Cricetulus griseus: one gene and its partners. The main gene of each other region encodes a partner of the protein of the gene in region 2 in a complex. Links are inferred from orthologs where the notes say so. Each region holds a gene or a part of one and is shown on either strand. Other genes may lie near its edges.

Evidence for each region. Proteins that work in one complex are often made in the same cells at the same time.
Region 1: Sart1 (region 2) and Usp39 share a complex: the UniProt entries of both Homo sapiens proteins name them as parts of the U4/U6-U5 tri-snRNP complex. The link is inferred for Cricetulus griseus from reciprocal best matches to the Homo sapiens genes SART1 and USP39.
Region 3: Sart1 (region 2) and Ppih share a complex: the UniProt entries of both Homo sapiens proteins name them as parts of the U4/U6-U5 tri-snRNP complex. The link is inferred for Cricetulus griseus from reciprocal best matches to the Homo sapiens genes SART1 and PPIH.

The regions. Positions count from the first base shown.
Region 1 is NC_048601.1:64,076,363-64,080,331, forward strand, and holds the start of Usp39 (U4/U6.U5 tri-snRNP-associated protein 2), read right to left. Parts: upstream 2,801-3,969; 5' UTR 2,768-2,800; coding exon 2,503-2,767; intron 413-2,502; coding exon 343-412; intron 1-342.
Region 2 is NC_048596.1:53,953,164-53,956,263, reverse strand, and holds the end of Sart1 (U4/U6.U5 tri-snRNP-associated protein 1), read right to left. Parts: intron 3,017-3,100; coding exon 2,843-3,016; intron 2,738-2,842; coding exon 2,627-2,737; intron 2,405-2,626; coding exon 2,317-2,404; intron 1,854-2,316; coding exon 1,763-1,853; intron 1,649-1,762; coding exon 1,513-1,648; intron 982-1,512; coding exon 892-981; intron 790-891; coding exon 668-789; intron 580-667; coding exon 561-579; 3' UTR 501-560; downstream 1-500. UniProt on the Homo sapiens protein: Plays a role in mRNA splicing as a component of the U4/U6-U5 tri-snRNP, one of the building blocks of the spliceosome. May also bind to DNA.
Region 3 is NC_048595.1:32,848,177-32,852,467, reverse strand, and holds the start of Ppih (peptidyl-prolyl cis-trans isomerase H), read right to left. Parts: upstream 2,801-4,291; 5' UTR 2,732-2,800; coding exon 2,666-2,731; intron 2,507-2,665; coding exon 2,442-2,506; intron 2,124-2,441; coding exon 2,100-2,123; intron 1,842-2,099; coding exon 1,797-1,841; intron 749-1,796; coding exon 706-748; intron 1-705. UniProt on the Homo sapiens protein: PPIase that catalyzes the cis-trans isomerization of proline imidic peptide bonds in oligopeptides and may therefore assist protein folding. Participates in pre-mRNA splicing.

The DNA.
Region 1 (3,969 bases), on a different chromosome or scaffold from region 2:
TCCAGGGCAGCCTGGTCACAAACTGAGGTCTAGGACAGCCAGAGATACACAATAAACAAACACCCTCACTTGGCCACTTTAAAGGGACAACATGAAAGAACGTGGCAAGAAGCACCATTTTCAAGACAGAAAGGCTAAAAAGGAGAAAAGTTTGAATGAATTGTTCACTGCTGAGTTTGGAGAATTTTCTACAACATTTTTACCATATTCTGTATCTCAAATCTACTGATTTGTTTGTATGGTAATGGGAATTAAACCTTGGATCTCTGACATGTCAGGCTAAGTACTCCACTGCTGAGATATGTTCCCAAGACTTTTCCTCATCCTCTCTGTATCACTGACCTGTTAATGGTATCCAGGTATGGGCAGTGACGACTCCTCCGGTCCTCAGAATCCACTCGGCCATTCTTTGCTGAGAAGAAATCCATCACAGACTTTAAAATGGAAAACTTGTGCTGGGATGTAACTCAGTGATAGAGCACTTAATTAGTAAGGGCAGGATTTGCTCTTACACAGCATCATAAATGGAGGACAGCAGACTACTCAAATCACAAGTACATTTTGTTTTGTTTGTTGCTATTTCCCATGGATATTTCCCATGGAAATGGGAAAATCTGATCAACTAAGATTAAGATGAGCTTTTAATTTTCTTGTAGTGACAACATTCCAAAAAAACTGCAAACTGAGATTAGATCTATTACACACATAACCAACAAGAGATTAATTCACATATTACATAATCTAAGCAAGTGAAGACTGCTTAGTAAAGGTATTTGCCACCAAATCTAATTACTAGAGTGCATGGGAGCAAGAGAGAAGAACTGACTCCCACAAATTGCCCTGTAACCTCCACATGTACACCATAGTACATGCACACGTATATATAAATAAATGTACTACACCTTTTTTTTTTCACCATGTGTGGTGGTGCACACACTACTAATCCTAGCCCTTGAGAGGGAAAGACAGGAGAAATCTGTGAGTTCAAGATCTACAGAGAAAGTTCCAGGCCAGCCAACACTACTTATTAAAACCCTGTAAATAGCCAGGCGGTATAGCTTCTATCGTCTTTAATCCCAGCACTCAGGAGGCAAAGGCAGGCAAGATCTTTGTGAGTTCCAGGCCAGCATGGTCTACAGAGAAGTTGCAGGACAGGCTCCAAAGCTACACAGAGAAACCCTTTGTCGAAAAACAAAGCAAATAGACCCTATAAATAAATAAATAAATAAATAAATAAATAAATAGGGGCTGAAGATATGGTTCAGGGGTTAAGAGCACTGACTGTTCTTCCAGAGGTTCTGAGTTCAATTCCCAGCAACCACATTGGTGGCTCACAGCCATCTGTAATGTGATCTGGTGTCCTCTTCTGGCATGTACTGTATACATGATAAATAAATAAATAAATAAATCTTTAAATAAATATCTAATGAGGTGCTGGGTAGTGGTGGCTCATGCCTTTAATGCCAGCACTCAGGAGGCAAAGGCAGGTGATCTCTGTGAGTCCAGAGGCCAGCCTGGTCTACAAGCTAGTTCCAGGACAGCCAAGGCTACACAAAGAAACCCTGTCTCAAAACAAACAAAAACAAAACATAACCCAATATATCACAAGTATTAAGATAAGTTGAACATCTTAAATCTACCATTTGTCTAAGAATTGTGATGGTTCTGAGAGTTAATCCTACTAGCAAGCTGATTTGTTAGCTTGCCACAGCTTCATGATCACTGATGGAAGGCATGTGATATCACTGACTAAAACCAAGAGTCTATTAAAGCAATAACAATAGCCAATGACATGACATCTTCACCAGTTCCTGGATTCAAGTCACACAAGAGAATAGAAAGAGCCAGTGCTCAAACTGGGTTGCCTTATTAAAAAACCCTGCCCTTAAAGAAGGGTATCCTATCTGCTTGTGAGTTTACGTCCCTTTAGCTCTATTATGGAATAATAATACAATCTGTCTCCCAAGGGTAGTCACTATATCAACATCCTTGACAAAACAATACAGAACCCCTACAACAACCTCCTGCAAAACCCAGGAGAAGCAGAATTGTCTCCAAACTACTGAACTAATAGTCAGTACTTTAATCGGGTGCAGAGAGATCCCGGCTGAACGAGCTTATTCCAGATATTACAACAGGACCCTGCATCTTAGGAATTTTGCAAAAACTGTAGAGGGGAATACCTGTAACGCTATCAGCAGAGCACCTAACTCACGTGGGCTATTCGACAAAGGGGAGCCGTGATGTATCGTGACAACGGTTAATATTAGAACTGTCTTCACCTGAAGACAGTCCAGTCTGGATTCAACCTTGGACAGGGAAGCGTAAGAAGCAAGGGAAAGTAAAAAGCAGGCGAAAACTGGCAGGAGGTGAAGGCGAGAGGAAGGTTATCTCTGGCTACAACAGCAAGTTCCTGAGACCCTGTCTCAAAAAAAGAAAGAAAAGGGAGAAAAGAAGAAAGCAGGCGAGGGTGGAGGGCGCACCCGGCCCGGCCCCGCGCACCTCGCACCTCCCGCTCGGGCTCCGAGTCCTCGTCGGCCTCGCGCTCCCGCTTCACCCTCACGGCCGGGGGCGCAGGCGCCGGGACCTCTCGCGCAGTCGGCTCGGCTTCCCGCTTCACGCGGACCGGACTGCCCCGAGAGCTCGCCGCCTCCGGCTCCCGCTCGCGGTCTCGCTCCTTCTTGATGCGACCCGAGCTACCCCGCGACTCGGACTCGCGCTTCCCGCGGGTGGAACCATGAGACTGCCGCTTAGACCGGCTAGACATCGCCGCCACCGGCTAGGAGCTTCCGCGCTGGCGCCGCGCACGCTGGAGGCACGCGGCCAATCAGGAACCGAGCTGGCCTCTGACGCGCAGCTCCCTACGAGTCGCTGAGAGGGACAATACAGACGGCTGGACCCTAATGGGCACTACTTGCCCAGTTGAGACAATTCTTTATCCATCATCTCTTCACAGATTAAAGAGATAGGAACCTTTCACAGGCTACAGTGATTGTAGAAGAAAGGAAGCTGGCATTCGACACAGTTTGTGTCTCGAAACGACAATCCAGAGAAGTCCTCTGATCCAGAGCTGATGACCTACACAGAAAAGAGAGTCAGTATTCCCAAATTTATCTCCTCCATTCAGGTTTGTACCTGGGAACTTCAATTAGTACCATATTTAGAGGGATCCTGAAATTAGAAAATTGCAAATACTCTGCCAAGGCTCACTTACTGTTTAGCTAATAAAACTCCAAATTCAGTTTTACCACTGAGGCATGCCTTAGTCCCTGCCTATTTGAACAGTTCCATTGAGGTATAATTGACATACAGAGTACCACATATTTGACGAGTGTAATTAGCTAAATTCTGAAGTGTGAACACTTGTGAATCCATTGCCATAATCAAGAGAAGAAACTTGTCTCACTCCAGAAATGTCCTTGTGCCCCTGTGGATTCCCACCCAAACCACTGGGTGACTGCATTTCCTAGAATTTTATACTCGAGAGTTATACAGTGTTAACTTTCTAACTTGGCCTCTTTTACACCTGACGTACAGACAATCTATTCCTTTACATTGCATTGCAATATTCCATCACACAGTTGTACTAGTACTAGTCTGTCACTGTTCTAATAATGAGTTCCTGATTTCCACATTTTGAAACAAGGACTTAAAAAAATATAGACTCAGGCTGAGGCAGAAAGATTCCCAAAGTTTAAGGCCAGCCTAAGCTACATAGTTAGGCTGAGACTATCCTGAGCTCCATAGCAGAAGGAAAGAAAGAAAGGAGAGATGGCTCAATATTATTAGACCCTCAAAAGCCTTGGCTCCTCCCATGGGCACAGTTAAGCAAGTGGTCTGGGCCGGGACAGTGAAGCCCCAATGTGGCTGGAATAGGGGCTGGGTATGGGTGGAGAAAACTTACCTACCTGAGCACTTGTCTGCCTCATTACCTATATGAGACAGGTGTTCTTAGTATGTCCACTTGAA
Region 2 (3,100 bases):
AAAACTGTGCAACCAGGGAAATTACAGGGTAGTGAACACCCATGTGACCAAGTCTCTGCAAACCAATTCAGCCAAGATGTGACAGGGACCACACCATTAGGTGGAGGGGTTTCTGTTATAGCTGAGTTAGCAACTAAAGAGGAATGTCCTTTGAGGGCATGCGCTTGTTTCCCCCTCATCACCTCTGTTCAACTTAGTAGACATCAAATCACACAGGCTCAAGGATTGGCCCCATCTTTCTCATATATATATATATATATATATATATATATATATATATATATATATATATATATATATATATATATATATATCAGTGAATATGAATGAACTCACTGAAGTCTCACATGTGAAACAGGTATTCTGACAGCTCAAATGGCAATACTGAAACTAAAAGAGGTTCAGTAACTTGTCAGGTTGCAGAACTGACCATGGACTGAGATGAGACCCAGCCTGCCTTGCTTCCTAGGTTTGATCTTAGACTGAGCATGACCAGGAAGGAAAAAATAAGGAGGGGACTTTATTTAATATATCTGGGAGGGACAGGGAGGAAGGTGGCTTCATTTGGTGATGGTGTTCCTGCAGGGAGAAGAGAGCACAGAGGGGTGTGAGACTGGAGAGAGAGGTGCAGTGCCCCTCCCCAGCCACAGCCAGGCCTCCTACTCACGCATTCATGCTCTTGCCGCTGCCGCTGAGCACAATGTACGGCGTCTTCTGGGCCTTCTGCTTCTCCTGGAGCAATGCCACAGTGCCCAGGGGCGTATCACTGGAGCTCATCTTTTTCAGGAGCTGTGGGGCCAGAGTAAATCAGTACAGATGAGAAGGACCAGTATATCCTACAACAGCATAAAACACAGAGCCCCATCCTACCCCCCACCTCCACAGACTCACCGCCTCCTCATCCAGCTTCTTCATCCGCCGCTCAGTCTTCATCTTGCCTGAACCCTTCCCGTGGAAGCGGTGGGACAGCTGCCGGAAGGCCTGAGGATATAGATCATGAGTCGGGAGCATCAGAAATGCCAGGCTAGACCTAACCAGAGCCACAAGCATCCACTGGGAGCTTCGTATCAGTGACCAGGAGCACTGATTCACCCAACCCAGGATTAGGCTCCACAGGGCTAGAAAGAGAATGGGACAAGGACCCAGAGCTGGGCACCATGCATGGGTTGTATGTAACCTGGGTGCTAGGAACCCAGGGTATGCCCTGCCTCCGTGAGCTGGGGCTCAACCCAGCAAATGTGGAGCAGCATATATGGTAGGGATGGGAGTCAGAGAAGGATGGATACTTTGGGTATGGCAGACAGCCCAGGTATCAAGCCTTTCTGATAGCCTGTTGTAACTGCTGTGCTGTGCCCACTAGTCAGCAATAGAAGCAGGGGTCTGTCACCTCACAAGGCCCCAACTGGTGGGCAGTCAGGACCCTGCAGTGCTGTTCTGCTTTGAGGGTATCTTTAGCAGCATCCTGACCTAGTCACCCTTGACCTGGCTCTGTCTTCACAGCACCCTGCTCACCTCCTTGGGAGTCAGTTTCCTGCCTGTCTCGTCCACATACTCAATCTTAACATCGGGCTTGTAACCATCCTTCTCCTTGAAGTCCTGGGTGAAGCCTCTGTACTCCTCCCGCCGGCTGTACTTATCATCGATGGCCCTAGACCAAGGCAGAGGGGCTCAATGTGAGCTGTCCATGTTCACAGCAACCCAGATTCATGCACAGGTGTGTTCACATCTGCCCCCTGCTTCTTGCCCTCATTGCCACACTCACATCTTATCCTCGATGCAGTACACAGCTGAGGGCAGTGACTTATTGGGAGCCTTCACCCGGGCCACCTTTTGCACTGTGGTCTCCAGCAGCCCTGAGGACAGAGAAGTTGTACTACCCATGAGGCCCACACCTCAGACAGACTGAGTAGAGTAGGCCTAGGGTCCCAGCTTTGTATGGGTGATAAGGACCCTTCAGAGCCCTGCTCAGTATGTAAACATGCCATGTCTGGCTTACAAACCAAGGAAACAGACATGAGATGGGTACCTCCCCAAGGAGATAGCTGGGATCTGGGGCCCAGGGTATTTATTTAACTTAGGCCACTTCTTCATGAAGGACTCAGAGCCTTAAGGGCACAGAAGAGGAACAGGTGCTACGACTCTGGACCAGAGAAAGGCAATCAGAGGCTCAGGGTCTGGAGATCTGCTCAAAGCTGAGTCTGAGAGGAAGAGACAGAAGTGCAGACCCAAGGACACCATGCTGTACCCACAGGTACGCACCCAGCCCTTCCTTGCTATAGCACCCAGACTGCCAAGGCTCCTAACCTGGGCCCATACCTTTGTTCTGACACAGGAGCAGGGCAGCAGCCAGCCCTCTGTTCACGATGGGCTCCTCATCCAGGATGGTGGTAGAGGAAGCAGAGAACTAGAGAAGGGAAATGTGGGGTGGAGGAAGAAGGAAGTGTGAGCAGGCTACCCCATCTCTTCTACCCAATGGCTATCCCTACCAGGTGCCAGGCTATGAGACCAGTTTTAATTGATTCCCCAGCTTGCTCCTGGAGGGTTAGTGCCCCTTCTATGGGGTGGAGGCTCTGGGACACTGGACAACTAGCCTGTGTCCCCACAACCACAACCCGTCAGTGCTCACATCCTGTTGCTGCTTCTCTTCATCCAGGTTGACGGTGCTCCAGCCAATGTTCTCTTCCCCATCTGATTCAGAGCCACCATTGGCCGAGCGCTCTTCATCTCTTTCAAAGTCCTAAGACCAGAAGTCAGGGTCAGGATGGGCAGCCCCAGCCCTCTGGGCACTGGACCAGAAGCCACCACCCTAAAGACAGCAGGCCAGGGGAACGGTGGGACCCACCATAAGCTCCTCTTGCTCTTCCCGGTTGCCAGCCAATCCATAGGTAGGGATCTCCCCCAACGTGCGGCAAAACTCAGAAGTGGCATTGAACACAATGGCCCCCTTACGCTCAGGGTCCTCTTCCTCCTCCCAGCCACGCTGGCGAGACTCCAGCTTCTTCACAATCTCTACCACCTGGGGGAGGGAATGGCTGTGGGCAGACCCCAAGTTTCTGGGGTGATACCACAGAGACTCAGGAACCCACAGATCTTCCCTGGT
Region 3 (4,291 bases), on a different chromosome or scaffold from region 2:
CCTTGGGCTACCTCAGCAAGCAGAGCAAACACCCTTTGAATTGCCTGCCTCTCCTGACCCCTTGCCACTAACTGGCTTGTGGTTATCAGCCAGGTGGTGGTGGCGCACGCCTTTAATCACAGCACTCGGGAAGCAGAGGCAGGCGGATCTTTTTGAGTTCGAGACCAACCTAGTCTTATGAGAGTTAGTTCCAGGCAAGCCTCCAAAACCACAGAAAAACCTTGTCTTGAGAAACAAAAAACAAAACAAAACAAAAACCAAAATAAAACAAAAAAACCCCTCAGCTTTCAAAAGGAAAAAAGACAGACCACAAAAACAAACAAAAAACTACAATTTTAGAGAGGGACACCAGAAGTGGAAGGAAAAATAGGGCATACAAGCAGTTGGCTCACTTCCTGTGGGGGAGGGGGGCTGCAGCTAATTTCAAAGTTTTCTGTGGTCAAAGAATGTGGTCTTAGATCATCTGTCTATAGGTAGACTAGCAAAGTCCAATTTTTGGTAACAAAAAAGCTCAGGTTTGGACAATGGGAGTTAATGATTCAAGTTTAGTATTGGTATATGTTCTAAGGGCACAGTCAGCAGTACCAGCAATTCTACAGTGCATCCCCTAGTCCATGCTCTCTCCATTTAACTTAGCTATTATTCTTAAATCTCAAGACTGGAGCCCTATAGGAAGAATAGCAAAGAAAAAACAGCAGTACTTACATTAACAAAATCTCCACCCTGAATCATGAAATCCTTTATGACCCTGAAACAGAGTAAAAACAAAACAAACAAAAAATTCCCGAGGGAAGGATTCAGTGGTTTGGTCACCAACATAGCAGCTTAGTAATTTTTTCTGAAGTACAATGTTTATCACCGTGGCTTAGAGACTGAGTCTTCACCCCTGGAGTTGAGCAAGATGAGGGATTACGAACCATAACTTGTTTTAAGCTCCAGGGGCATCTTTGTGTTGATCTAAGGTATATGAGTGAGCACCTGAACAACAGAAAAGGGCTGAAACCTGTCAGGAAGAAATAACATATTTACAAAAAAAAAAAAAAAAAAAAAAAAAAAAAAAAGTCAAGGGCTTAATGAAAATCTGGGGGGAAAGAAAGAACAACAGCAAATATATGTGAAATGGACTGCCACACACACACAGGGTAATGTAAGCTGTTATATACCCAGGCATAGTCCTTTCTTAGCCCCAGTTTCCTTCCTTAAAGAAGGCAGATTACACATACTACCTCACAAGGATGCTGGGAAGGATTAAAGACCATAATTCTAAAGCCCCTGATATGGATGACACAAAAATTTCAGGATTAAAGTGGAACAACTTCTGTCAAACCCTAACAAAAATTGGTAAACACAGAAAGCAAGGCATTCAAGAAGGTCAGGTTCCTGCAGATGACTGCCTGATAATAGTAATTATTACCAAAGCCTCTACCTGGAACCAGGGGGATGGTTCAGTGGGTAAAGTCCTTGTTAATGAGGCATGAGGACCTGAGTTCAGATCCCTAGAACCCACATAAAAGCTGGGTATAGAAGCCTATGGAACTGCACCTGCACCCAACTGATAGTGTTTTCCTTGCCATCATTTCTACATCTAGGATGACTTACGGTGCCTGTGGTGCTGAGTATTGAACCCAGGGTCTCAGGTATGCTGGGAAAATTCTCTACCACCAAGCTACATCCTCAGCCCTGGACATGACACTTTAAACAACAAACCTAATCTACCATAGGTGTACTCAGGTGTTCAGGATTGCCTGCACAGATACCAAGTGATGACTGCATTAACAGTTTGCCAAAAGCCTTACCTATGGAAGGTGCTTCCTTTGTATCCTATTGGAACACCATCTTTTCTGTAACCAAAAAGAAAGACTTGGAGTGATGACAAATAACCATGGGTCCTTTCCGTTTGGGACACACTGGAGGCTAAAAGGACTCTCAGAAAGATTTGGATAGAAGCAAGCTAAAGAACGCATCGATAAAGAAGACACCCTCTGAATATCATCTTCCACCACTCAAGACTTGCCCATGGTTCCCCAATACCCTCACCAAACCTCCAGGACACCCTTCAGGAGTAGGAGGAATAGAGGTCAAACACATCTGAGACTGACCTGAACTCTCCAGTGCAGAATTGCCTAAAAGGAAAGAAACAATGAACAGTTACCATGCCATCGCTGCCCGGAGCATCTCTAATATCGGGAGATGAGGGTACAAACAGTGGGGCCAGCAAGTCCACTAACTGGTCGGCCGGATGTCAGGGCATGCAGCCATGTAAACTAATATCACAAATTGACACAGGAACGGTCAAACCCGGTAGCTATTCGGCCAGTGCAATAATACACAGAGCACAGAGCACAAGGCAGTGGACGGATGGACAGAGGCAGACATTGCAAAGAGCGCCCCGAGGCCGGCTTCGGGCTCAGCCACGCTGATTCAGTGGAGCATCTCCTCACCTGAAGTTCTCTGCCGTCTTAGGCACCACGTCTGCAAACAGCTCGATCTTCATGCGACCAACCTCCTGCAAGTGACGGGAGACGCAAGAAGGCTCAGTCCACGACCGCAGCCCACGCAGCTCGGAAGCGCCCACCTCGGCCGCCCTGGCCCAGCCAGTCTCGGCTGCCTCCCTCACCCGTGTCCTGCCCAGCCGCGCAGGTCCGCCGGGCCTCCCGCACCTCACCTGGCCGCCGATGCTGACATCAAAGAAGACCACCGGATTGACTGGACTTGAATTTGCCACCGCCATGGCTCTGACCCGGAAGTAGAAGTCCAGTTTCCGGGGACCGGCCTTGCTGAATTCAGCCAAAGCACAGGGGCCGTGGAAACCGACCGGGGTTGGGCCCCGCCCCCGGAAGCGCGGCGCGGACCGCCGGGAAGGCGGACACTGGTGTTGTAGAGCGGGTCGGTTCTGAGGGAAGGCGGGGATGAGGGGAGAAGGCGCAGAAGCGAGGGAGTGCAGGCATCTTCGCCGAAGGCGGCGGGCTCCCTACTCGCGTGACTGTACTAGTGCAGTACAAATGAGTGACCGGCAGACAGCATTTGCTGAGCCGTCACACTGGGTGTCCCCTGCCCCCGAGGCGGCACCCACGAGGGGAGAACCCTCAGAATCACCCTCCGTGTTGTAAAATGTTACGTAGGCTGGCTCATTCGGGATCCTGGAAATGTGATTTCATTTCTGTCGCAAGCTTCCAACTCATTTCCCACAGAGTTGCAGTTTAAGAAACAACCTTTGTGCTTGTAAATCGTGTGTGGGGGATTTGCATATTTAACGTAAATCCAGCTGTGTATACGAAGGCCCGAATGCCATTTATTTGCCACCGCTGGTAGCGAAGACCTGAAAGTAGAGACCTCACACTACCTAGCCTCATCTCCTGCCTACCACTCTTTACCCTTTCTGGCTCGGTTGTGGAGACGTTAGATTGCTACGTCCTTTAAGGCCTTGATTCGAGTTTTGTCTCTTCTAAAATATTTTTTTTTCACCTTAAATGTTTTTGAGACAGTCTTGCTGCTTATCAAGGGCTGGCTTTGAGCTCAACGATATTCCTACCTCAGCGTCCCAAATGCTGGGATTACCTACATGGTTTGCCATATCCTTTTGGAACTGGCGTTGAACAGATGGTTCAGGAGGATCAGGGCATCCCAGCACCCATGCGACAAACTGGGTATCCTGCATGTTATTCTTTTGTTTAAAAAGAAGAAAAGAGAAATATTGAGACAGACATATTGACTATAAGTTTATTATAAGGCCCGGTAGAATGGGGAGACTAAGAAGAGGAACAGGGTAATGGCTGACCGCCATGGCCGGTCGCCATAGAGAGAGAGAGCGGGGAAACAGAGAAACGGGGAGAGAGAGACAGACAGAGCGTAAAGGTGCAGGGGCCTATCTTTTAAAGGGGTCCTCTGCACCTGCGTGCAGACTTCTTTCCCATGGAACCTTGGGCTGACCAGGGTATTGCCTGAGTGGATTCCACCAGGTAATGGGCAGGCCAGCATAATGCCTGACCCTTTCATTCCCACCTCTACTTATTATTAAAAAAGCTGTAATCTCAGCTTCAAGGAGGGTGGAGACAGGATGTTCACGGGCTAGCTGAGAAAATGTGAACCCCCAGGTTCAGGGGAGAGCCTCTGCCTCAAAGTAATAGATGGTAAATGATAGAGGAAGATACTTGATGTCCTCTTCTGGCATCAGCGCTTGCACACACACACACACACACACACACACACACACACACACACACACCTCACAAATATTAATCCTAAAAACTACAGAGATTGAGGAAGGTTTTCAGTATGGAGTCCTCACAGG